Linked DNA regions of Nothobranchius furzeri. The protein of the gene in region 2 purifies or fractionates together with the protein of the main gene of each other region. This does not show direct contact. Links are inferred from orthologs where the notes say so. Each region holds a gene or a part of one and is shown on either strand. Other genes may lie near its edges.

What was found.
Region 1: the proteins of prpf4 (region 2) and ddx23 purify together in Homo sapiens (affinity purification with mass spectrometry; 4 studies listed by BioGRID and IntAct, counting the BioPlex papers as one, with this or other methods). This does not show direct contact. The link is inferred for Nothobranchius furzeri from reciprocal best matches to the Homo sapiens genes PRPF4 and DDX23.
Region 3: the proteins of prpf4 (region 2) and prpf4bb purify together in Homo sapiens (affinity purification with mass spectrometry; 3 studies listed by BioGRID and IntAct, with this or other methods). This does not show direct contact. The link is inferred for Nothobranchius furzeri from reciprocal best matches to the Homo sapiens genes PRPF4 and PRP4K.
Region 4: the proteins of prpf4 (region 2) and zgpat purify together in Homo sapiens (affinity purification with mass spectrometry; 4 studies listed by BioGRID and IntAct, counting the BioPlex papers as one, with this or other methods). This does not show direct contact. The link is inferred for Nothobranchius furzeri from reciprocal best matches to the Homo sapiens genes PRPF4 and ZGPAT.
Region 5: the proteins of prpf4 (region 2) and tut1 purify together in Homo sapiens (co-immunoprecipitation; 3 studies listed by BioGRID and IntAct, counting the BioPlex papers as one, with this or other methods). This does not show direct contact. The link is inferred for Nothobranchius furzeri from reciprocal best matches to the Homo sapiens genes PRPF4 and TUT1.
Region 6: the proteins of prpf4 (region 2) and eftud2 purify together in Homo sapiens (affinity purification with mass spectrometry; 4 studies listed by BioGRID and IntAct, with this or other methods). This does not show direct contact. The link is inferred for Nothobranchius furzeri from reciprocal best matches to the Homo sapiens genes PRPF4 and EFTUD2.
Region 7: the proteins of prpf4 (region 2) and snu13b purify together in Homo sapiens (affinity purification with mass spectrometry; 4 studies listed by BioGRID and IntAct, counting the BioPlex papers as one, with this or other methods). This does not show direct contact. The link is inferred for Nothobranchius furzeri from reciprocal best matches to the Homo sapiens genes PRPF4 and SNU13.

The regions. Positions count from the first base shown.
Region 1 is NC_091755.1:54,897,176-54,901,342, reverse strand, and holds the start of ddx23 (probable ATP-dependent RNA helicase DDX23), read right to left. Parts: upstream 2,801-4,167; 5' UTR 2,618-2,800; intron 1,227-2,617; coding exon 1,069-1,226; intron 934-1,068; coding exon 823-933; intron 660-822; coding exon 569-659; intron 1-568. UniProt on the Homo sapiens protein: Involved in pre-mRNA splicing and its phosphorylated form (by SRPK2) is required for spliceosomal B complex formation.
Region 2 is NC_091746.1:69,563,499-69,567,732, reverse strand, and holds the start of prpf4 (U4/U6 small nuclear ribonucleoprotein Prp4), read left to right. Parts: upstream 1-1,434; 5' UTR 1,435-1,572; intron 1,573-4,234. UniProt on the Homo sapiens protein: Plays a role in pre-mRNA splicing as component of the U4/U6-U5 tri-snRNP complex that is involved in spliceosome assembly, and as component of the precatalytic spliceosome (spliceosome B complex).
Region 3 is NC_091747.1:44,848,220-44,852,178, forward strand, and holds the start of prpf4bb (pre-mRNA processing factor 4Bb), read left to right. Parts: upstream 1-1,159; 5' UTR 1,160-1,233; coding exon 1,234-1,292; intron 1,293-2,170; coding exon 2,171-2,249; intron 2,250-2,678; coding exon 2,679-3,805; intron 3,806-3,959. UniProt on the Homo sapiens protein: Serine/threonine kinase involved in spliceosomal assembly as well as mitosis and signaling regulation. Connects chromatin mediated regulation of transcription and pre-mRNA splicing.
Region 4 is NC_091755.1:51,593,943-51,596,110, reverse strand, and holds the end of zgpat (zinc finger CCCH-type with G patch domain-containing protein), read left to right. Parts: intron 1-565; coding exon 566-980; intron 981-1,242; coding exon 1,243-1,381; 3' UTR 1,382-1,668; downstream 1,669-2,168. UniProt on the Homo sapiens protein: Transcription repressor that specifically binds the 5'-GGAG[GA]A[GA]A-3' consensus sequence. Represses transcription by recruiting the chromatin multiprotein complex NuRD to target promoters.
Region 5 is NC_091756.1:31,152,475-31,156,473, forward strand, and holds the start of tut1 (speckle targeted PIP5K1A-regulated poly(A) polymerase), read right to left. Parts: upstream 2,801-3,999; 5' UTR 2,670-2,800; coding exon 2,594-2,669; intron 787-2,593; coding exon 596-786; intron 496-595; coding exon 289-495; intron 90-288; coding exon 1-89. Other genes in the region: mki67 (proliferation marker protein Ki-67), read right to left, coding at 3,537-3,999. UniProt on the Homo sapiens protein: Poly(A) polymerase that creates the 3'-poly(A) tail of specific pre-mRNAs. Localizes to nuclear speckles together with PIP5K1A and mediates polyadenylation of a select set of mRNAs, such as HMOX1.
Region 6 is NC_091745.1:13,626,204-13,629,703, reverse strand, and holds part of eftud2 (116 kDa U5 small nuclear ribonucleoprotein component), read left to right. Parts: coding exon 1-80; intron 81-193; coding exon 194-312; intron 313-439; coding exon 440-534; intron 535-619; coding exon 620-773; intron 774-3,500. UniProt on the Homo sapiens protein: Required for pre-mRNA splicing as component of the spliceosome, including pre-catalytic, catalytic and post-catalytic spliceosomal complexes. Component of the U5 snRNP and the U4/U6-U5 tri-snRNP complex, a building block of the spliceosome.
Region 7 is NC_091756.1:29,119,202-29,123,210, forward strand, and holds the start of snu13b (NHP2-like protein 1), read left to right. Parts: upstream 1-1,209; 5' UTR 1,210-1,387; coding exon 1,388-1,390; intron 1,391-1,552; coding exon 1,553-1,673; intron 1,674-4,009. Other genes in the region: uqcrc2b (cytochrome b-c1 complex subunit 2, mitochondrial), read right to left, coding at 459-491.

The DNA.
Region 1 (4,167 bases), on a different chromosome or scaffold from region 2:
ACAGGTAAAAAACCTCAAACAGAAAATATCCCAGACAAGCTAAATCATATCCATTATTTTATTTAAAAAGTATCCAAATTCAGTTACTTCTCCTCAACTTTTATGAAATTTAGCTAAGAAACTAAAGAAAATACAAATATGAAAATTTGTATTTATATGAAAGTTTGGTTCTTGCCTAAGGGTTATTTTAACTAGGCATGCACGGTAGATCGGCATCAATATCGGTATCGGTCCGATAAATAAAACTGGGCCGATATTAACAACCGATATTTTTTCCACCTTGTTTTCATTTGTTGATCTGTTTCTGAGGGTGAGGGGATGATGTGTATCGGTTAAGTCATGTGACAATGATTGTAATCATCTCAGAAGCGTAGATGTGTCTGGTGTGTGCACATGATGTACATTCAGCTTTAATCATTTTCATTCTATACAAAATCTGCTGAAGTTAGGAGCATTAATGTCAGTACATCGGTATCAGCAAATATTGATTATCAGCCATAACGGTCATATTAATATCAGATATCGGTGCATCACTAATTTTAGCCCATAAATTAAACTAGAGTCATACCTTTTCTTTCTTTTTTTCATCTTCTTCTTCCTCTGCTTTTATATCCTTCTCTTTCTTCATCTTGCCATCCTTAGACCTTGGTGAAGGGCTTCTATAAAGCAAAAAGAAACTAAAATTTATACCAATATAAATGACTTCTACCTAGGATGCTGACATTTCTAACAGAGAAAAGGACAAAACAGAATCAAGCTAAATTAAAACTTCAATAATAATCAAACCATTTGTAAACATCATTATGGTTTCCTTTTACAAACCTGGATCTCTTGTGATCTTTATCCCGTCGATGGCTGTCTCTGTCCTTACGGCTCCTCTCCCTGTCTTTGTCTCTGTCACGATCCTTGTCTCTGTCTTTCAGGCGGCGGTCTCTGTCATCATGAGGCATTTTAGACAGAAACACAACGTCAAGCTTGGATGTGTAAATGCAACTCCAGCCAAGCAGCAAGTATCACGGGCCACAATGTTGTGGTTGAGTTCTGTTTATATGTTGGCATTTTCGTTACCTGTCTGGAGACTTGGAGCGGTTTCGTTCACGAGAACGATGACGTTTGCGTAAAGGTGACCCTTTACGGTCTCGATCTCGTGAACGACTGCGTTTCCTCTCTCTGTCTTTGGTTCCTGAGGATTCTGCATCCTTCCTGTCTGCGGACTCTGCTGCCATCTGCAAAACACAAGTGTTTTGGCACGATTTTCCATTTGCCTTTTAACAATAATAATTCATGATTACAGACAAAAATTCATGTCAGGAAGTAATAACAAAACCATTTCACTTTTACTTCAAAAATCCCAACAGCTCTGAATCTTTTCTTTAGTTTATTGGGTTTTTAAAGTTACGTTTAACGACTGATACAACAAACAAGATCAACGTAAAAACTAAAATGTTCTACCTGTAATTCACAAGAAAGTCAAAAGTTAAATAGATGTAAAATGCACATCTATTTTACTCTTGAAACAATAAGTACAGCTGATCCCAAGGGTCGCCTCCACTAATAATAAAACACAAAAAATTTTCTGCAAAACTTTTCACATTTCTTGAATGAATTTTTATTTATTTAAATAAGGGGAAGGTAGAATACACGTCCCTAATTATTAGGCCATTAGATTTGTACTCATGTCATACATCGTGGGGATAATGTCTCTCTTTCCTCGTTATACCTTGTCATCACGCTTCTTTTACATAGGTTTTAAAATTGCTTCAAGTGTACAGCATTTATTTATTTCCTCTGCCAAGTTATTCCACAATTTCACAACCCTCACTGAGATGCACATTGATTTCAATGTTGTCCTTGCTATAGGCTGACACAGTTTATTGCTCCCTCGTAAGTTGTAGTTATGAGTCTCTATCTTGAAATAAGTTTAAATTTGATGGGGAATTTTTTTTACAATTTATACATAATTTGGGCTAATTTAAAATGTACTAAATCATGTAACTCAAGATTAAATTAATGTAGAGACAGTAAATTGGAATGATCATTGTATTTAGTTGAATGAAGATTTCTAATAGCTCGTTTTTGCAAGGTAATAAAATGAATCCAATTAGTTTTATCCCATTGGTTTTATACGCAATTAAAGCCTTCTGCTCACGTACAAAGCTACATCGTTTCATAATTCCAACACATTTGGCTACTTTTGTAAACAAGTTCATTATATGAGGTTTCCAAGACAGTTTTTCATCAATTATTATTCCCAAAAACCTACATTGATGCACTCCCTCAATAATTATATTATCAACAGTTACGGATTAGTTTGATTCGTCTCCTACAATCGTGAGCAAGATATCCTTGGGCTTACGAAGAGATGAAGCTTCACAGTCAAGGTTTAGTTATTCAGTCAAAGTGAGAAATCAAGTTGACATCAGACTCAGTTGTGAACATCTGCACGTACGTTTAGAAAGCTAGCAGGTTAGCCCGCTAGCAACAGAAAAGAGGCAAGTTTATCCTCAAAAAGTAGCACGAATATACAAAACTGAAACTAAAATTCTGTAAAAGTTAGCTATGATTGGAAAATTAAACCCAGCCTGTATGTTTGTTAATTGTTTGGTTCAAATCTTACCGTATCCACTTGTCAACAAAATACTAGCGAATTTTATACGCTTTAAGAAGACGCCATACTGCTAACGCAAGAACAAACACGGAATGCAATGCATTGTGGGAGCAGTAGTCCAAGAACTATCCCATGACAGTGGAGGTGAATTAATAAAAACTACATTATCCAGCAAACTACGCATTCTGTTTCTCAGGACCCAGGTTGTTTGGCATGAACACCTAAGTGCCTTTTCAAAAATAGTAAGAGCGCGCGCGTGTGTGTGTGTGTGTGTGTGTGTGTGTGTGTGTGTGTGTGTGTGTGTGTGTGTGTGTGTGTGTGTGTGTGTGTGTGTGTGTGTGCTTTTAGTTTTTCATTTTTACATTCTAGGATTTGGTGTGTTCATTCAAATCTATCTGAGGAACAAATTTCATGTTGTCATTGTTTTTTACTGAAAGGTTCTTAAAGCATTATTGATTAGATTCATTTTAAAATTGATTCTGTAATTTATTTTTTTACATATGCCACCTGCACTGAGGGCATGTGAGTGGGTACTAATTGTGTGTGTGTGTGTGTGTGTGTGTGTGTGTGTGTGTGTGTGTGTGTGTGTGTGTGTGTGTGTGTGTGTGTGTGTGTGTGTGTGTGTGTGTGTGTGTGTGTGTGTGTGTGTGTGTGTGTGTGTGTGTGTGTCGGGGGAACACATTGTGTGACAGACAGTATGTATGTATGTACCCCGAGGGTGTGCTAATAAAGAAGCCTGCTGTTAACCTGCTGGTGCGGGTGTCTAGTGTGATGATAAACTGATGTTAAATTCAGTTTAAAGAAAAACTGGGAGGAAGCTTTGGCTCATTACATGAGATCAAGTTTCCTTTCTGCTCCTTCATAGACAGCATAGACATGAGGGTAACATGATGAGGGTCACACAGGAAGGTTTGTAGTTAGCTGGTGAGTGAAGGAGATCCATCAGCTGGGTATTTTAATCCTAATCCAGCCCACAGCCTCCATGGTGTTATGATCATCAATAATAAAACACACATCGTGAATATTATTGTAAGTTTAAGATTTATTTTTTATGTTTATTATTTTCTGCATGAAACAGAACTTGATTCAGTCTCCAACATTTCAGAAATGGATTTAATTAAAATAACAAACTAAGTCAAACATTTGATTTGGTGTTATTTCTGACACCCTTGAACTGTGGCATAAACATTTGACTCTAAAGCTGTTCAAAGACATTAAACACACTAATATATGAACCCACTGTGTATTTTATAACTTAAATTAAAGGCAAGAATTGGAGGTGTCCTATAGGTTTTCAGTATTTTTTCAGGTTTTGTGTGGAGCACATAAATGTATAGGGTGGGTGGCTTTCTGTTAAGGGACATTCAGTCCCTTTACCAGAGGAGCGTGAGTTTGGTCCTCATAGCCGGTAGTAAGTCGAACCTGTTCCTGGTGAGGGTTGGACTCCGCCAGGGCTGCCCTTTGTCACCGGTTCTGTTCATTACCTTTATGGACAGAATTTCTAGGTGCAGCCGTGGTGTGGAGTGTGTCGAGTTTGGTGGCAGGAGAATCTCGTCTCT
Region 2 (4,234 bases):
TAAAGTAAAAGCAAACGAAACAGTCGAACAAGCATTAAATGAGTGGTGCATTCAAAAGCACGATAAAACGTCAAACATAGTTACAGGGAAGAGAAAAGCTTCAACAGGTGGAGGGTTCAGCTGGTAATGACTTCCACGGAGAGGGGTTAGGGGGCAGACGTCCCACGGTGACAGGACGGGCAGGGGGACTGTGCCGGTTGATGGCAACTGGGGAGTGTGTAGAAACCTTTATGAGATGGGAGAGGTACGAGGGGCAAGGTTGTGAGTGGCCTTATATGTGATGAGCAAGATTTTGTAGTCAGCCCTGAATTTTATCAGCAGCTCAGAACTACATGATGGACAGCAGCAGCTCAGGAGTAGAGCGGGTTGTCCACTAACCCGAAGGTGGCAATTTCGATCCCAGCTTCAGACAGAGAATGCTGCCGTGGTGTCCTTGGGCAAGACCTTTACCTGCTGGTGGTGGTCGGAGGGACCGGTGGCACCAGTGCTTGACAGCCTTGGCCGTCAGTGTGCCCCAGGGCAGCTGTAGCTACATCGTAGCTCATCTCCACCAGCGTGTGAATGGATGAATGATGCACTGTAGTGTAAGGCGCTTTGGAGTCCTCAGGCTCTGAAAGGTGCTACACAAGCGTGGGTCGTTTATCATTCATTTACATGTTTCACTGATCACGCTTCTCACTGCTCAGGTCACTAACAAGCCCTCCAGATGCTTTATCATCTCACTGCAAAGAAAGCATCCAGTAATTCGTCCTAATGTTGGTTCTGCCACTGCTGACAAACCTCCACCTTCACCAGCAGGTGGCACCACCGTGCATTGTGTAGGACCTACTGATAATTCAAGTTAGAAAAATTCACCCAACATCAGAAAACCAGTTTTTCTTAACCTAAAAGGTTTACCAAGCCGGGCACAAGAGTATCGATCAGCTGTGACGATTTGGCGCCACTAGGTTTAGGGTCCTACTGTGGAGGAGATTAAAAATTCACCTAATTAAAGACACATTTATCAAAAAATGTTAGGAGAGCAGGGCAAGTTGATTTATGTGGCAGACCTACAAGAGTTAGCCTGTAGGGGGGGAAAACCGCGTCTAACCCCGCAAGGAAGCCCCGCATGGATGGGGAAAACACGCAACTCTATGAGTTTCGAACCTGCAACCTTCCGGTTAAGGGGGGGCTCTGGGCTCCTGTGCCACCGTCACCCCATCAACGTAAAAGCGTCGCAAGCAGAGGTTTTAAATAACGCAGGTGTTGCGGGTTGACTCCACACAGCGTTATGTTCCAGAACATCCGAAGTTGTTGAGGCGGAAAAGTCGAATCTGTGAACATCATGTCAACTTTACTTCCGTCCACCCGAACCCGTTTGTGTGACGAACCCAGGTGACTTTACCTGACGCACCGAGACTCTCCTTCGTCCTGATCGTCAGCTGTTTGGTTATCTGGCTAACAGGTAGATTGGTTAATTACCCATAAGTCCACGGATCCACCAACCGGAAAAAGAAGCTTTGACCCGGAAGCCAACAGTTTCATATCCGGGTTGCAGTGCTAGGAGACGTTGCGGCTTCGTCTGTTTTTACGGTAAGTTTGAACAACAAAACAAACGAAGCTTTAAAACAGAGAAACACGCTTATGGTCCAAACAGCAGGTGCGCGTGCTCGGCTAGACACGCGTGTCCGTGAGCCGTTAGCTCCGAGTCACGTGCGAACATCAGAACGCTTCTATGGTTTCGTCGTGCGGTCCGTGTGTGTTCTGCACAGCTACGGTTACAGCACCAGTTCACTACTGGTGTGGGTTGCAGCACCAGTTCACTACTGGTGTGGGTTGCAGCACCAGTTCACTACTAACTCACTCATAACATCTATGATAGCTTCCAGGCAGTCAGGTTTTCGTAGAGCTCGTTCTACTGAAACCAGGGCCGTGCAGAGACCTTTGACGGGGCGGGGCTCAAAGTAAAAAAAAAAAAAAAAAAAGGGGGCACTTTTAGATCAATCCAACAAGTTAAAAAAATCTGATAATGAGACCCTTGGGTTCAAACAACATAATAAAAATTTATCAATTAGTGTTAATGTTAGTTAATAAATAATGAACTAACCCTAACCCACCATTGCGTGGGCGATGGTGGCACAGGAGTTAAGATCTCGCCCCGTAATCGGAAGGTTGCAGGTTCGAGCCCCGCTCAGTCTGTCGCTGTCGTTGTGTCCTTGGGCAAGACACTTAACCCACGTTGCCTGCTGGTGGTGGTCGGAGGGACCGGTGGCGCCTGTGCTCAGCAGCCTCGCCTCCGTCAGTGCGCCCCAGGGCAGCTGTGGCTACATCGTAGCTCATCCCCACCAGTGTGTGAATGTGTGTGTGAATGGGTGAATGACTGATTGTGTTGTAAAGCGCCTTGGGGGGTTGCAGGACTCAGAAGGCGCTATATCAAATACAGGCCATTTACCATTAATAGTTTGTCACTGGAGAAACAAGTTATTCAGTTCTTTGGAAGTAAGGGCATTTCTATTGACAGCACCACTATAGCTGCATGCTACACAATTCCTAAAAAAACTGGAAAAAAAAAACAAAACAATAATTCAGTTTGTGAGCAGGAAACATAAAGTTGACTTGTTAAAGGTCGTAAAGAAGCTTAAGGGCACAGGAGTGTATGTAAATGAGCACCTGACAAAGAAGAATGCAGAGATTGCCTGGCAAGCAAGAATTCTGAAGAAGGAGAGGAAAATACAGGATACCTGGATAAGGAACTGTAAAGTAATGATCAAGCTTACTGGACCACCAGAACAGGCTATGGTGGTGAGCATCAAGAGCCTCTCTGAACTGGAAAAACTCAAATGATGAGAAGAAGATGGTATTTAATTCATGGACACAGCAGACTACAAGAAATCAGGAAATAATAGATTTTTTTTTAGGTTTGTCAGTGATGTAGATCATAAAATCTAAAAAAAATATCAAATCTGATAGATAATGGAGTTGACTCAGAAATTAATGGTTGCAGCAACACCCACCTGGACTGTGAATATTATATTGTAGAGGACTTCAAAGTGAGTATGTGTGGATTTTCATTAATACACTTTAACAGCAGAAGTCTCTACAACAATTTATCTAAGATCTCAGATTACCTAAATGAGTTCAAGGAGAAACTTACAGTAGTTGCAATTTCAGATACCTGGATCAAAGATGGAAAAGAGTTATTGAATAAACTGGATGGCTATGAAATGTTTACTCAGAGCAGACAAAACAAAGAGGGGGTGGGGTAGCACTTTTTGTTAGGACTGGTTTTGATTGTACGAAACTAACAAATATGACCTTCATTGTTGAGAATTTGATGGAGTGTCTGACAATTGAAATTAAGTGTAAAAAATCCAGAAACATCATTATAAGTTGTATGTATCGTAGTCCTGGTTCTTCTATAGATCAGTTTAATGAACGTATTGAAACATTATTTGGGCAATGTAGGAACAAAATTGCTTTAATTTGTGGTGATTATAATACTGATATGTTTAAATCAGATGATAATACTAAAATAGCTGAATTTATCAATTTAATGTTTAGTTTAGGTTTCCTTCCGTTGATACTGAGACCAAGCAGGATAACAGCCGTAGTATTACACCGATTGATAATATATTCATAAATCAATCTGACGTCAAGACAAAGAATGGCCTTTTTTAACTGATATTACTGATCATTTACTGGTGTTTACTGTGGTGGAAATGATGAGAAGTGATGAAACATCTCTGGAAAATGTAAATTATACCACAACTAGAAAAAAAACTTCTGTTGCAATTGAAGCTCTGAAATATGAACTGTTTTGCTCTGATTGGACTGATGTTTATGTTGATGATGTTAATAATTCTTATACAGGTGCTGGCCAGTAAATTAGAATATCATCAAAAGGTTGAAAATATTTCAGTAATTCCATTCAAAACGTGAAACTTGTACATTATATTCATGCAATGCACACAGACCAATGTATTTCCGATGTTTATTACGTTTAATTTTGATATTTATAGGTGACAACCAATGAAAACATCAAATCTGGTATCTCAGAAAATTAGAATATTCTAAAGGCCAATGAAAAAATGTTTGTTTCTCTAATGTTGGCCAACTGAAAAGAATGAACATGAAAAGAATGTGCATGTATAGCACTCAATACTTAGTCGGGGCTCCTTTTGCCTCAATAACTGCAGTAATGCGGCGTGGCATGGACTCGATCAGTCTGTGGCACTGCTCAGGTGTTATGAGAGCC
Region 3 (3,959 bases), on a different chromosome or scaffold from region 2:
CTTTACTTTCTTACCACTGTGAATAAGCAGGCAAAGGTGTCTCACAATATCACAATTTACTGCTTCAAATAAAACTGTCAAGAGGGGACAATAACACCCCATTAATGCTTCTGCATCCTAGGAAGTCACATGACTTCAAAAAACACACAAAAAGCATCATCTGTGCAGCTTTTTGCACTGAACCGAGCAGAGAGAGAGAGAGAGAGAGAGAGAGAGAGAGAGAGAGAGAGAGAGAGAGAGAGAGAGAGAGAAGAGAGAGAGAGAGAGAGAGAGAGAGACTCATATGATCGTTTTATGAATGTTTGAAATCTTGAATATAATACTAATTTAAGTTACTGTCTGTAATGTCTGTGTATCAGTGTTATTATCAAATCATAATGCAAATTAAAATTATTTAATATAATGCAATAAAGTGAAGTTATTGTGCATTTGTCCATAAAGTTACAATGTTTTTTTTATCAAAGTGCATCAACAAATACTGTGAAAACATTCAAAGATTTGTTTTTACGAAGCAGAAAATTGATCTAAACCAATAATCTTTGGAATATTTATGTTATGCATACCAATGCTCGACATAAAGAATCAAACCAGATGGTTATCCCACAGTGTCGTAAACTCAATAGCCTCTCGTAGTTGTTTTTATGTCCTTTTGTTGCCTTTTCTGTCATTTTTTTTCTAAGATTCCGCCCCCAGATTCATGCTGTGCTTGTTGGGTGGTTAGCATCATCTTACAAACAAAAACTTAGCTACGACTCACGCAGGATGCGGTCACAGGAGGAAATCTGTAATGGACACATGTAAGCCAGAAGCCACAGCGTAGCTGTAATCAACTGATGTGTCTTATAGAAGGTCAAAGCGGCAGGGGAAAAAATTAATGCTGAGCACAGGGTGAAGTGTGCTGTATGTGTGTCATTACCCCATCAGCACCTTTTCTAATATGTTATATTCATTAATACTTTATTGAAATCAATATTTTTACAGGTTTTTAGCTATAAAATGCACTCGCTAGTTGCCTCGTATGTTTAAAATATACGTTATAGTATAAATTATTAGTAGATCAATGTAGGGTGTGATTTCAAGTTAGAAAATTACGCCTCCTGGTGGTGCAAAATTCTTTGTGGGAAAACCAGTTTGCACAGCATCGCCCAAACACCAGGGGACGCGGTACAATCATAGCGGCAGTGCTCCCTCTAATTATTCGAAGAAGAAGAGAAGGCTTCTCAGCTGAGGAAAATGGCAGACGTTGAGCTGGACATCATGTCCAGCAGAATGAATAATGGAAACGAACACATGTAAGTTCTGTAATTCGGAGACAACTGAGGCTGGTGGCTGTGAGACTTAAATGCATTTCGGTGTCCGTTTTAAATGGAAATCGCTACATGTGCGGAGGATGAAAGAGTCGCAGTCTCACGTTGTTTCACGAGCGAGCTGAGATGCTAACGACAGGCTAACGCTTTCGGCTAAGTGTAATTTAGCTCTGCTAGCTTAAGTTTTCTTTAACGCGTAGCAAATACAGCGGCCAGGTTGTTTTGTTCATTCTAATTTGCTCATATACACAATGTACGCCTGAACACATTAGAAAAGCTTATAGTTTTATCGAGTTTGAATGTGAGTTAGCGAACAGGATATAGCCTGCTAAGTTTGCTAAAGACATTTAGCGTATCTGTGCTAATAGCCGAGCCATCAGTCTTGGCGGTTTGAGCTAACAAGTAGATCTGGCATGGCGTTAAGTGAGTGTATGATATGAATTATAGGATTTCTGTTATTAGTAACTCCTATGCTGTAAACAACTGTTAACCCCGGTTTAAAGTGAATTAAAAACATTACGTAACCTTGATCCTCATAATGTATGTGTTCTCACTGTCGAGTGGGTTAGCTTGAACTTTATTTACCTTACAGTTGTTAGATCAACAATGCTCGTGGTCCTGAATGTTCTGTTTTTGTTTGGAAAAATGCAATCAAACCAAGTTCTGCTTAATGTGGATCCAGAAAAACGTTTAACTAATGAAATTGAAGCTATTTGACCTTCTGTTAAATAGCTACTATGGCTTAAGCGTTCAATTAAATCCTTCAATCTAGAAAACATTTATTTTTCTGTAAATTACAGATAATGGTCACCACTGTCATAACCCTCTTATTATTTTTTTTTCTTTTTTTTATTCCTGAACAGAAAGCAAGATCTGGAGAGCCATGAAAGAAGTGGAAATGAAGACAGCGGGGACATATCTGAGGAAGAGGAGGAGGAAGAGGTAGGGATGAACAAGAGCAAGACCTAAAAATCACCAGTGGTGGTAATTAAGATCTTAACCATTCACTCTGATTCACTTGAGTGTTTACCGGTATCAATCAATCAGGGTTGTTTATTTGGTTATTTTAAAGTTAAGAATGGGAGAAAAAAAACATGAAACATATCTGACACATTAGTGTTTCTTATGTGGGTGGATGTTGTTTGGTGATTTGGGTGTTTTACGGTTTGAACCCATTTTTCTTCTAAGAAGTGTCGTCCTTGTTCCTTGGAGGAACGATAACATAAAAAAATGTAAAAATCCAGTATTACACAGTAATTAACTAATTTTATTATGAACACAGTAACTAAAACATTCTTTACTCTACTGATTTAAATTTACTTATAAATAATTCAGAATGACATCTAAAATATTCTTTTTTTTTTGTTCCAGGAGGAAGCTGTAAATACTGAGAAGGTCGATGAAGGGTCCAAACATCACAGCGGTAGTGGTAAACGCAAGAGGAAAAAACACAAGCATCGCAGCAAGCACAAAAAACACAAACATGTATCTGATGAAGACAAGGACCGTAAGCGAAAGCATCGTCATAAACACAGGAAACACAAACGCAAAGAGGACACCTCCCCGTCTGCTGCCGCCCTCTTTGGTTCCTCCACCCACAAGAAGGTGGAGTCGTCTCCCTCTTCTGGGAATCCCAGTCTGGATGACAGGGCCGTGCTGGAGGACCTGGAGAAACAGAGGGCCATGATTAAAGCTGAACTGGACAGTCAGCTGATGGAGGGCAAGGTTCAGTCTGGCATGGGTTTGATTCTTCAGGGCTACAACTCTGGGTCTGAAGAGGATGGAGACGCCAGGTTCAGGAATGGAGAGCAGCGTCTGAGGGGCAGCTCAGGTAAACCCATCTCTCCAAGAGGGGGGAAAAGTGGGAAATCGAGGCGAGACTCAACAGAGGTCAGTAAGTCCAGCTCCAAGCGTCGTAGCAAGTCTGCAGAGAAACCCGCCAAGGAGTCTAAGCAGGACAAAGGGACCAAAAGCAGTAAGGACGCGGGCGTTAAGGACAGAGGGCGTGGCAGGAGCAGGTCTAAGGACAAAAAACGCTCGGGCAGCACTGATCGGCCCAAGGAGAGACGGAAGTCTAGTTCTCCTTCCAACTTAAAGAACGAGAAGAAAGCCGATCGTGTTGATAAGCGTTCCTCTCCACAGCGAGATGACAGGCCAAACCAGGACAGAGCAAGTCGACGGTCCAGGTCACCAGTACGAGAACGGCCAAGCCGCTCAGATGCAGATCGGGACAAACGGGTCGCCAAGTCTCCGTCTAAGGACGCCTCGCTGGGGAAAGAGAACCGCTCCCCTCACAGACGAGGGCCTCACAGCCCTCCACGGAAACGCAGTGCTTCTCCTCGTCACCGAGACAGTCGCCATGTGTCGACTGGCGCCTCCGAGCGGACGTCAAAACAGAACCACTCTCCGTCCAGAACCAAGTCTCCCCCCAGAAGGGGCCGCAGCCGCTCACCGGACCTCAGGAGGAGGGAGTCAGACAGGCAGGACTCACCCCTCAGGTTCGTCACTCGCTGCTTCATCGTTAGGTGGTTATCTGTTTACCCACAAAGCATTTGTGTTCGGTTTAATGCCTAGGGTCAGAATACTGCTTCGTGGGACCAATCTGTGTTGAAACGAGTCGTTAAAATACAAATTAAAAAGTGAGGAAGACAC
Region 4 (2,168 bases), on a different chromosome or scaffold from region 2:
GGAGTCTGGGGATCGAATCCCGATTGGACCACTTTTTTTTATATCCGCCACAGATCTCTCTGAAGAACTCACAGCATCGACGGCTTCAGCAACGCTGTGCCGCTCCGTGGATTTTCTCTTATTTGTTTTGCAAAAGCACTTCCTTTCATTTCTCCACCTCACCCACAGGTACCTCAGTTTCTGTTTCTGTGAAATTGCGCTTCCTTCATCTGCCTTGATCTACGGTCGCCATCGTCATTGGCGGAGCGCTGCAACAGCCGGCTTATGTACATGCATGAGATCCACAAGGCACTAGTTTGCATTGACCATTTATGGCAGTAAGTGGGCGTGGTGAGGACGGGATGTGACTAAAATGCAGCTGAGAAACTTTCTCGTTAGTCTCCGATTTATGAAGCAGAGATTGCGTGCAGCTGTGTGTACTCCATGTTTGATAGATCACAAACCAACTTGGCGTAAGTACATTTGTTTTTGCTGAGCTTAAGTACGGTTGTAGTAAGGATTCTACGCTATGTTTGATAAATGAGACCCCAGCTCCCTTTTTTCAAAAGCTTGTTCCATTCCACAGGTTTAGGAAAGCTGCAGGAGGGTCGAGTAGAGCCGGTGATGGCGGTGGTGCTACCGAAGGGGAAGTCTCTGGACGAGTGTGCAGAGCTAACACAGAGACGCACTCAGAACAAGGCTGCGAAAGACGGAACACAAGCTTCCCGCCCGAAACGCCGCCGGAAGCCCCGAGTTCCCGGAAAGCGGCAAACTGTGTTTGACTTTTTAAATCACAAGCTTGGAGACAAATGCACAGATCCTGCAGAAGGGGGCGCTGCTGCGCCATCGGCAGCGACGGCGACCGGGGTGGAAGCTTACAGAGCAGGAAGGAACGCCAAGAGGAGCCTGAATGTGAAGCTGTTCCAGGCTGCTGAGAGGGTTGCTCAGACTGAGAGGGAGATCCAGAAACTGAGCGAGTCACTGAGCAGGCAGACGGGCAGGTCGGTCCAGATGTGTCTCACAGCACTTTATCAGTTCTGGTCGAGTTCAGATAGCTTTTATTTCTGATCAGATGTATTTAAAGTAACATGAGAGCGGTAGGAGTTGTGTGAGAATGTAAACAGGATGTGAAAATGTGAGGTGAGATTCTTGTTTCCATAGCTACCAGAAATCCTCTTTACTTGTCACCCCTCTCGTCCTCCTCCTCCTCCTCCTCCTCCTCCTCCTCCTCCTTCATGCCGGGTTTGTTTGTGTTTTGCACAGAGATGCTTCCAGAGTTAAGCAGCTGGAGGAGCAACTGTCAGGGGCTCGCCGCCTGCTGGCCCAGCAGAAAGCACAGGAGCTCTCCATCCAGAGCGAGCACAGGAAGGCCGACACACACAAGAAGATGACCGAGTTCTGATACCCACTTTTTTATTTTAAGACTTCAGAAACAGAAAGGAGGCCTCCTGAAAATAAATGTTGTTTTCACTTCAGTTTTGTGTCCGGATCACTTCTCACCGGCACTTTTCCATCTTTTTTTCTTTCACTTTAAAAAACAAAAGCTTTCTTCTGGCAGAGTTTAAAGCTACAATAATATAAAATAGAAGTTATGAACAATTTTTCTTCACGACTAAAAGTCTTGCTGAACTTGTTGTACTTTTATTTCTAACTTACACAACTTTACAAATAAATCTGGTGCAAAAAAGACTCCGCTTCATTTATTTACTTTTCTACGTTTTCTTTTCACTTTGGCGGGAGTTCTGAGTCATGCTGGCCAGCGGCTCCTCAGGTGCTTAGTGCAGTTTACTCCCAGTATCATAGTGGTTTTAATGTCACATCTCATGTGAATTATATACATCACATCTGTGAAGCTACAACCGTAACCTCTGTTAAATTAAATTCAGAGGTGGAAAGTAACAAGTTACATTTCCTCACGTTACTGTAACTGAGTAGCTTCTTTTGTATTCCATGCTGTAGTTCTTTTTTAAAACACAGAGCAGGTAAACAAAACTGCTCTGTGTTTTAAAAAAGAACTACAGCATGGAATTAGAGATACGACACAGCAAGAACACACCTAAGAAGCTTTTTTTGTATATTTATACTTTTTAAGTCGTTTCTTGAATCTGTACTTTAACTTTAACTTGAGTACGTTTTTAAAAAAAGAATTGCAATTCGCTACATTTGAAATCATATCTGTTACTGAGTAA
Region 5 (3,999 bases), on a different chromosome or scaffold from region 2:
TGAAGGAGCTGAACCAGCAAGTCTCGAGTCTTCTTTTCATTTTCTCCCAGCTGAAATCGCTCAACTATGAACTTCATCTGGGCATCCACCTGAAGGAGCGAGAAAAACTGTTTTAGTTCAATCATCTCAAAAAGAAAAATAGAAACACTTGATTTACTGAGCTGTACGACACATGAACCATGAGGATTATCATGCTGTATTTTCTTTAAATAATCTGTAATAAATATGTTGCCCAGCTGCACGGTTCATTTCTGATTATGTCAAATCAGTTCTAGTACGGATGCTCACAGATCCCAGCTGACACAAGTCGGGTCTGAGACGATCTAGGACCTGCTGGAGGTTCTGGGGGTTGTTCTTCTTCTTGGGAATTAACTTAAATTCCTTCTTTTCTCGAGGCTTGACCCGCAGCTTCAGCCCCTTCATGCGGTGCTCTACACAGGACAAAGCTGCCTGGATGCTCTCCGTTTCACTGAACTGCACGATGGCAAAAACACCCTGTGAGCACAAACACACACACCATCAGTCACTCTGCCCATGATTATAACACCCGGCCTCTTTCATGAGAAGGCTTCATCTAATAGGAAGTCCGTCCCACCTTGCCTTTGTCCATGATAACATCTGTGACGGCCCCAAACTGCTGGAAGTATTCGGAGATGTCCGTCTGAGAGATTTCAGGCTTGATGCCACTGACAAACACACTGTGCTCCTCCTGGTTCTTCCTGGTGTCTCGTACAGTCGTCAGGGTCTGATGCTTTCGCCCCTTCACATGCTGATCGACACTCGGCACTGGTCGGCAACAACATCAAAGTATTTAGTAAATCAGAGGGATTTCTACCACTTTACATCCTGATTCACTGTGTTTAATCAAGTTTTTGTTTATTCTAAAGAACTATTTCTTGCAGATTAAATTTTAAACACACAAGTTGAGATCTCCGTAAGTAAAAATGTAAAGAACAGTCTGAACGTTTTACCAGCCACCGTTACAGATGTTCAGATTTATCTTACACTAAACAAATGGATCTGTTTCTGGATTTAAAGAGCAAGTCACCCAAAAATAAACCTTTTTTAAATGAGAAACTAAATAAATGTGTGTCTAATCGTGCTGCAGACACATGTAGTCAATAGTTTTGCACTTGTTAAATTTTTAATTTTCTGCCTTAAATTGTCAGTGTTGTGCCGTTGTCAGGTAAAAACTCTGCTCTACACTTGAATTTAAATCTGCCATCGCTCTTGGCTAAGAGGTTTCCTAGAATGTTAGCTGGTACCATATGATGTCACAATGTTGTTGTGAGCCTATGTGTGTGTGTATTTGTTAGCGGCTGCACCCTCTCGGTCTGCTAGGCAACAGCATTTGTTGCATTTTTCAAACAGGAAGTGGGAGTGGAGTAATACTCTGGTAGGGGGTGACTTGATCTTTAAATGGATTTTTCTGGAGACTGATGCCATTCTGTCATCCTTCAGAAATGTTAAGTTCGTAGTTTCTTTAGTCGTGTACTGCTGGGACTTAACAAACCACGAGACCAATCCCTAACCAATTCAGCAGGCCTTAGCAGTGTCTCATTTTACAGCTCAAGATGGTGACATTTAGAAAATGAATAAGAAGAAGCCTCACTTAGTTTTTGTTCAGCTCCGCAGATTTGTTTTCAATATTTGGGTCTATTTTCTCTTTTGGAACATAATGAGCATCATTCTCTTGTCCTTTTCATACCAAGGAAAGATGCCACTTTTAGCACAAGTGTTGCAGATTTGTGTCGTTTACTTCACTTTACAAACTGTGTATGGTTTTCTTAAAGACTAAGGCTAAAGCTATCTTAAAGTTATGTTTCATACTATTTAGAACTGAATCTCAGTCCACACCAAGGAAAAGGGAAAATAAAGAAACTTTTATTGATGTCTCAACATCCAGAGCCTATGGTGTGAATGTGAATGCATTTGACAGATGCTTTTGTCCATAGAGACTTCTAAGTGGAGATGCAATGTTCAATGTAAAATACTGAAGTCTGACAACTTTTTTTATGCTTGTTTTTACTGTCTTGACCTGTTTGATTGCTGGTATGCCTTGTTGTTTCTGCTTGATTTTATTGAACGTTTTTATTCAGTCTTTTGTGACATTTCAGTAAGGCACTTTGGTCCTCTCATGCTGTGCTGAATACAGTTACAAAATAACTGGTATGGTACTATCTGGTCTAATATAATTACTTGCATTTGACGGTATAGTACAGATTCACTTGGATTTAAAGGTATCGATTGAATTAGAATCGACTCTTTTTGCCTTTTCTGCAGTGCTGTGAAAATTTTTTTTTTTTCAAGAATAATCCTAAACTTTAAGATGATCAATGGTGTGTTATTATTCACTCCAGTTAAAGGCATTTGGATAACAACCACATTTGGTCGTCCCGTATGTAATGTTGGACAAATAAATTTATTGTTTTGATTTTAGAAAGACAAAACAGTTGAGTTAATGTTTTTTTTACTTCCATCTCAGCGCAGGTTGTTGTTTTATTGTTAAACGAACCAAGAAAAACCTTTATTAAACAACATTCCTAACAACCAGGCAGCTCACTCGCGCGCGTGGCTGAGCTAGCTTACTTACTGTTTGGTAAGTTGGTGTTACACAATGCGCAGAAAAACCCTCTCGGCGTCGTTTGAATATCACTGTCTGATGACATGGTGATACTAAACAGTTTAACCAGATACTACACCAAACAACCGTCTACAGTTTAGCTTTGAGGACACCGCTGCGCTTTAAATTAAATCTCCCTCCAGCGTTGGCTAGTTGTTTGTGTTCTGTCCGTCTCTAATATGTGTCCGGGTTGAGTTTTTTTTTTAACCTCACAACCTTCCAGTTCCGTTTGATTATGTTGCATACTTTAAATCTATTTAGCTACTTTTGCATTTTCTTTTAGCCAGCTAGCTAATTACTTTAAACATATCATGTGGTCAACACTACACTAGAATGAAGCATGTTATATTTCTGGTGTAAAACGGATTCAGATATTACTCTTGATTTGTACGTTTGCTGACAAATTCAGCTGTTTAAATTAAACAAATCTCCCAAGAGATTTCAGCCCTTAAACTAAAGTTAAATTAAAAAAGTTAAACTATGTAAACTAGTTTTACATAGAAGGATCAGTCACTTGCATGGATTAATTTTCTGGTCAAATAGAAGCCTTGATTTTAATCTTACAAATGAAAAGTTTAATCATTTTATGTGTGAAAATGCTCAAGAAAAGAGTATTTGTTTATTAATAATAAAGAAACCATGTTTTTCCATTGTAAAAAATTTTATTTTTCCCACCATAAAATTATTTGCTGAACTTGTATTGAGTAACATACAACTTGCAAAAGCATAACCCCTCCCCCAACAACAAATGCCTAAGATCCCTGATGAGTTGAGACAAAAAGACAAACTGGCTTTATTCACAGTAAAATCAGCTAGGTGTTAAAATCTAAATCCAATTAATAAAATCTAAATCCAATTAATAAAAAGAAACGAATAAAGGAAAACAGTAATAATGATTAATACAATTTACAGGTTATTTCTTTGCCTGTCTCCCTCGTCTGGTCCTGGGTTGCGGCTCGGCTTCAGCGACACTCTCTTCCCTGGGTTTTGCTGCCGCCGTGTCAGCAGCCTTCGCTCCTCGTCTACCTCTCTTTGCAGGTTCAGCTTCAATTTTCTCTGAGAGATCCTCCTCTTCAGGTTTGTTGGTTTCCTTTGATGTGTTTTTGCTTGTTGTGTTTGCAGGTTTTGCCCTTTTACCTCTAACTGCCTTTGCAGGGGGTTCTCTTGGAATTTCCAGGACTTGCAGACCTGAATCAAACCTCACAGATTTCTTTGTGTTTGCATTTTCCTCACCAGCCGGTTTTACCGGCTCGTTGGTAACCGTGACCTCAGCTTCTGGGACCTTGGCTGCAGCTCGTCCCCCCCTTTTTGTGGGTTTGAAGAGTGCTGGAGGAGGTTCTGATGCCTGTACTGCTGATTCAACGTGGGCCTCTGCT
Region 6 (3,500 bases), on a different chromosome or scaffold from region 2:
GGCGCTGCTGGGGTCTGTTAAAGACAGCATCGTTCAGGGCTTCCAGTGGGGCACCAGGGAGGGGCCTCTTTGTGACGAACGTAAGAACCACGCTGAGTTTAGCTGTTGGATGTCAGAATGCTTGTTGATATGGACATACGTAGCTTAATAAATATAAAATGACAGAGTCTTGTGTTTTTTCCTCGCTCTTCAGCCATTAGAAATGTGAAGTTTAAGATCTTGGATGCTGTGATCGCTCAGGAGCCTCTCCACAGAGGAGGAGGTCAGGTTATCCCTACGGCCAGGAGGGTTGTTTACTCTGCTTTCCTCATGGTGAGGCTTGGTTTGATCCATACCTTCTAAATGCTTGCTAGCTTTGATTGAATCATAAATGTGTTCATTAGAACATCGTAATGCTTCTCCGGGTTTTAGTGCTTTAGAGTCTGCTTTGTTCTCCCAGGCCACGCCGAGGCTGATGGAGCCGTATTATTTCGTAGAGGTCCAGGCTCCGGCTGATTGTGTGTCAGCGGTCTACACGGTGCTGGCTCGGAGGAGGTTTGTCTCACGAGGCAAAAACAACAATTCTGACAATTATTTGTTAAAGTTTTAAAAAACTTCTCGTGTGTTTTCCGTCTGTCAGAGGTCACGTCACCCAGGATGCACCTATTCCCGGCTCTCCACTCTACACAATCAAAGCTTTTATCCCAGCCATCGACTCTTTTGGCTTTGAGACTGACCTTCGTACGCACACTCAGGGTCAGGCCTTTGCTCTGTCTGTCTTCCACCACTGGCAGGTGAGATTAAACACGCAACCTGCTTTCTGCGTGTTATCGCTCTGAATTTGATTTCATCAGATTTAGCTGCGATTAAAATTCAAATAGCAGCAGAAATGTGTGGCCTACCAATAAAGTGTGCACCTGAGTGTGACAGTCACTTTGCACCATGAAAAAAATCAATCAATAAATACTTTATTAATCCCAGAGGGAAATTAGAGCGGTAAACAATGTTTTGATCTCTCTGCTGTTGAACTCGTGCGTTTGTGGCAGCTCGTGCTGCGTCGTGGTCGACCTCATGCATGTCTGCCACTCTGGGCAAACTGCTTCTGATCCAAAGGACGGTGGAGTGTTGAGTCATTACTTTTAAAGCGTTATGAGGCTGTTTGTGTCTGCCTGACGTGTGTTTGTGTCTGCACTCTGTTGAGCTGTGTCAGTGAAAATGAACTCCACTTAGGCTAGATTAATATTTCAGCTTAGTGTCTTTAAGCCACGAGCTACGGAAAATATTCCCACGGCACAAATTTAAAGTGATATCGTCTTAACCGTTTTATCCCCTTGAGGTGAAAATAAATGCATCTAACTAGACATTTTAATTATTCACTATATGAATGCTAATCATATGGAGTCGACCAAAATTAATACAACTCTTGACACCTTTGGTTGGTTTGTGTTCAGATACTTTCTACCTGGACTGCACGATATTGGGAAAACCTGCGATATTCGATAATGGTGATTGATATTGCAATGACGATATTACTTGCTATAAATAAAAACTTAACTCGGGAACAAAAATAAAGCAAAGAAATAAAATAAATCATAAAAATGAGAAATGCAAAAGATGTGAGGAAAGGGAAAAGAAAATGATCAAGAAAAGCAGAATCAGCAGAACAAAGCTAACTCAGGTGTTTGCTAACCATTAAAATTAAGTTCCGTCCACCTCGGGGGCGGGAATCTAACCTATGAGAACCCACCCGATTGGCTAAATGGGTGAAGAGCTCTATTTGATTTGTTAAACATCATTCTTCCGTTTGACTGACAGAAGCTTGATGTGAAGCAAACATTTGAGCTGACCATTCATTGCGATATTTTGGTTCTTTGCGATACGCATATTGCTCATGCTGATATCGCGATAACGATATATTTACGATATATTGTGCAGTCCTACTTTCTACAGAATCTTTTTCAAGCTTTTACCAATTCAATACATTTTTAATACATCAGCTTTTCACTACTGGAATATTCCCAGACATAGTTTTATGTAAGCAGCGATATTTAGTTTTTGTTGCTGTGGGGGCCGATTGTTAAGTAATATTGTCAGAATTGCTGGATTTGATCACGTTTAGATTTGGATAATATTAAAATTAAACCAGATAGAAAAATATAAAGATGCTAATCTAAACAAGCAAAGTTAAACGTAAATATTTAAACTGAAAACTAAATGTGTGGAGCTGAATATAAATGTTAAAATATAAAATGTGGTTATCGTATTTGGGTAACGTGCAAATTTAGACTCGCGTGGATGGAAAGTGGCCGACCAAAGAAAAAAAATTCTCTATATTATGGATCATTGTTCCCGTCATGGTTCTGCCGGCGCTTTGGTAAATGAGCCACGGTTGAACTGACGGACAACGTTTTACTGTCGAGGAAGCTTTAGAGACCTTAGACGGGGGTCTCTTCACCCCGCCTTTCGATTGGCCACTTCTATTTTACATCAGTCTGAGTTAGCACGTTAGCTCAATATTTCATAGTTTTTAAGAAAGCTAACTTACCGGAATATCTAAACTTTAACATTAGTGTGGCAAGGTGGACAAACGAGGGCCCAGGCGGGATTTGATCCCCCAGACTCCCGGGTGAGAGTCATACGCTCTAACCAGTCAGCCAAAGGGACATCCCCTTGGCCAAGTAGCCAGGGCGCATGATCTATCGGGACATTGTGACAGGACACTCACACTGTCACATCAGCATTGTAACTTTAAAAATCGACATTTCTACTTGATGTCTGTTTATTTTAGGAGTTCTGTTTGGAGTTGTGTTTAAACGTTTTCAAATAACTTTGTAATTTCCTAAATGAATGCGACGCAAACGTGAGTTCAGGATTCCCACCCCATTTTAATAAGATTTATTTAGTATTTCTTTGCGATTACTTTTACACTTAGTGCCTCATCAATCACCGTTATCATCCGTAACTGTAATTACTGTCCCAACACGACGGATTCAGCTGCTCAGGGTATCCAGAATAGCTCAGAGGTTGGTGTAGTGCACCATTTGGCCACATTTCCTTAATAGTTAGATTTAAATACTCAATGTTATTATGTAATTAGTAGCTCTCACGCTTTGGTTGATTTGGCTGGACCTACTTCACGTACACGCCCACCACCCTGCTAGCAGGTCTCATCTTTCATCTGCGGCTAAATGCAGAACGGGACGATTAATATATGACGCGTTTTGTGAAGGTCATCCTGCAAACTGCCTGGGGTAATGGCTTTAGTGGATCGTTTTAAAGCTCAACCTGCCGACGTTGCATTGTTGCTGTGTTGGTCACATTTGATGGTGTGACGGTGCTTTCACATTTGCACATCTCTCCATCACGCTGATGAACGTTCTGCTGACTCCGTACCAACAGGACAGGCGTTCAGCTGAATCTCATAAAATGAAAATATCCACTCGGCTGGTTGAAAAGTTTCATGTGTTATATGAGAACAAATGTGGTTTCTGTTTGCATCACCTATCTGATCCCCCTTTAAG
Region 7 (4,009 bases), on a different chromosome or scaffold from region 2:
TACAAAGATTGAAGGTTTCTTTCCAAATGAAAATCACTTGATAATTTTAGTCTTCATTCACCGATCCAGATATGTATTTGAGTGAGATACACACACCTAGAGTTAAGCCTTCTGAAAAATGCTAAAGCTACTACGTACCCTCTGGTATGCTAACTAGCCTAGCTAGCTGCTAGTTGTTAATTATCTTACATTTAAACAATTGAGGAGTCAGTCATTAGAGCCTAACACAGTGGAGATTAATTCATGATCATATACATACATGTCTAGAAAAATAGTTATTCTTGGTCACATCAAGTTTTCAGATTAAACAGTCATGTCAAGCTTAGCCGGCTGCTTGTTCCAAGACAAGACAGGTATGGTTTAAAACCACCCAAAGACAGTTAGTGACAGCGACTGGATGGGATGGGAACACTGATCCCGTCACGCAAACTTTCAGAACAAATAAAGTCAGCTCTCACCGTTAACTGACTGATTCCCCGAATCCCCTTCATCTCTCCTGTCTCCTTCAGCCAGGACAACGATACAATATGGCTGAATGGAAAGTGCCCTACCCAGAATGCATAGCGCGTTCATCTCTAGCTTGCATAAACCGCGCGCCCTCTTCAGACCAACAAATAAACTGCATCAACAATTTTTCCAGATCTAAAATCACAAAAAACAAAGAGTTCGAGAACAGCAAATGGGAAATATGAATCAAATTGATTGTGTGTGGAAAATAATTGGCAAATTAAATCTGATTAGATCGTGACACTGATTAATATTTTGCATTTACATAATTAGTAATTCTATAATTAACTTTCCATCATCATCATCATCATCATCATCATCATCATCATCATCATCATCATCATCATCATCATCTTTATAAAGCATTTTCCCACAACTAATAGTCACAGTCCACAATTTAGAAAAAAAAACGACTTCATGAAAGCCCACAAACGCCTCAGGTTTAAAACGAAAACGGGTTCAAAGATAAAAAGTCTAAACCTTCTTTCATATTTTTGTTTTTTTTATTAAAGGTTTATAAGATATCCCCTCGACATTTACAGTGTCATAAAGCAATACACACCATGATACACACTCGAAAGCTGTTTTAAAATAACTTTATTTGAACTTTAGAAAGTATTTTTCAGTTTGTTCATGTTGTTTGTTAATAAAGTTTGTTTTGAAAAAATTACATTCCCTGTGCGCATGTGCAGCCTGACGACCATCACACACGTGGGGTCAACGTTTGGATCTAGTGCATGCTGCAGATAATAGTCGTTTTGTGGCGCTATTAAAACTCGAATGAAACAAGAATAATTCACGTTTCGATTGTATTTATATTCTGAAGACAAATCAAATAGTCCTCCGTGAAGCATTTCGCCGAGAGGGCCGGATTACAAAAATGGTGAGCTTAGTGTAAGAGCTAATAGGCTAACAGACGGGCTTGCATGTAGCATGAATAAGAACACACGGTTGTGCGCTTTCTTAAAATAAGATAATGTGATTTTTGTTAAAGCTGGTTTGTTCTGTTGAAGCTTATTTTGAACCTTCTCATTTTTGTGACCAGAGTGAGCCCCAAGTGAACCCAAAGGCCTACCCTCTGGCCGACGCCACCCTGACCAAAACCATCCTGGACCTGGTGCAGCAAGCCTCCAACTACAAGCAGCTGAGGAAGGGAGCTAACGAAGGTGTGGAAACTATTCGGCTATTTTACTCAACATTTATAACAGAATTTGTAACGAAACAAACGTAGAAGGTGAAAATTTTGCTTTTACATGTAATTATTGGATCATAGGCCGTGTTCTCACTGCTGACTCAATGGTCGAACCAGAATTTCTTTCTCAGATGTGACCCACTTCTGCTTTTTATGACCCACATCTGCTTTTAATGACGTTCACAACACATATTCGTCATAATTATCAAGTTAGACCTGGGTCCCTTTCATATGTAATACTTTAAATCTGAATTTTACATCGACATGTGACAGATGTTCCTATCCTGCGGCAGAGGAAGCAGGAAGCTCTTCTTTACATGTGCGTGTCTGCAGCGCTGTACACTTGCCTCACTGGAGGCTGATGGCAGCTGCATTATCAAAAATTAGAATGGCGCATTAAGACCAATCCATCTATTTTCTTCAGTTTATCCGGGGTCGTGTCACGGCAGCTGCAGTCTACGTCGAGAGGCTTATACTTCCCTCTCCTCAGCCACTTGGGCCAGCTCCTCCCGCAGAATCCCAAGGTCTCCCCTGGTCAGCCATGACATATACAGTGCCTTAACATGCACACTAGAGAACCAAAGTATTGCCCTAAAAAGACTTCTGTAGTTTTTTAAAATGCATATAACGCGTTAGTCTGGCTGAAAGGGAATTGGTTCTAATCTAGTTCAAATGATAATGATAAATGACCCGCACTTGTGTAGCGCCTCTCAGAGTAAGGACTCCAAAGCGCTTTACTCTACAGTGTGTAATTCATCCATTAACACACACATTCACACACTGATGGTGATTAGCTACGATGTAGCCGCAGCTGCCCTGGGTGCACTGTCAGAGGCGAGGCACCCAGATAATACAGTAGCAAGGAAGCGCTGTTGAACGACGGGCGCTTTGTCCCTGTTAACCTATGCTCTCAGTCACATCAGCTGGGAAGCGCCACAAAGGCTCGCTCCGTGCAGCGATCATTTTGGCGTGAGCTCTATTTTTACGTGAGCCGTGAGTGAACAATTCTGGCAGGAAGTAAACTAAAGCAGAAGAGGCAGGCTGGTAAATTTAACAAAAAAAAAATTCACAATAAAACACTGCAATTGATAAAAGTGATCATGTTTGTGTATCTAAATAGACTAGAGAGATGAAAAGGAACAAACACACACCTGCAGAAAAACGTAGTGTTACCATAATTTAAAATTCAGTGTTTACAGCAAAAGATGGATTTAATAAATGTGAATACAAACAAATGCACAGCAGCAGAATCAGCACAGTGTCCAATATCAACAAGCAAGGCAAACTGGTTACACACACACACACACACAGAGCAAGGGCATGTTTAGAAAACAGTAGGCGTGAGCAGAAGTGCTCGTTGAAAATTCTCGCCTGATGTGACCAGAAGAGGAGCGGAGAGCGCACAAATTTTGTGAGCAATCCACTCCGCGGTTCTTCGCAGCTGGTGTGTTCTGGGCATAAGTCTCCTCCCAATTGGACGTGCTTCTCTCAATGTGGAGGAGCAGCGGATCTACTCCGAGCCCCTCCTGTATGACCAAGCTTCTCACCCTATCTCTAAGGGAGAGCCCAGACACCTAGTGGAAAAAACTCATTTTGGCTGCTTGTATCCACAATCTCATTCTTTGGGTCAATACCCAAAGCTGGTGACCATAGGTGAGGGTAGGAACGTAAATCGAAAGCTTCGCCTTATGGCTCAGCTCTCTTCTCACCATGGCAGACGGTACAATGTCCGCATCTCTGCAGACTAGGGCTGGGCAATAAATCGAAAATGTATCGTTATCAAATTTTCTGACTTATCGAGATAATTTTCCCATGTCAAGATGTGTGTAGGTTGTCAACGTTCATGTCCCTTTAAGAAGCTGTACCACCTCGTAAAAGTATGACTCAATGTAAAACATGTGACAGCCCCATCTAGTGGACAACTTTTGTTTCTGCGCATTCCTGTAGTTATCGTCCGTTTATCGTTATCGAGGTGAAATCCTCATCGTGATATTGATTTTAGGCCATATTGCCCAGCCCTACTGCAGATGCATCACCAATCCACATGTCGACCTCATGCTCACTCGTGAACAAGACCCAGAGACACTTAAACTCCTGTACTTGAGAGAGGACCTCATCCCTGACCCGGAGAAGGCATTCTACCCTCTTCCGACTCAAGACCATGGTCGCTGACATAGAGGAGCTGATTCTTATCCCAGCTGCTTCAAACTCTGCTGCAGACTGCTCCAGTGAAAGCTGGACATCACGTTCTGATGAAACTAACAGGACCACATCATCTGCAAAAAACGGAGACTCAATCCTTCGGCCACC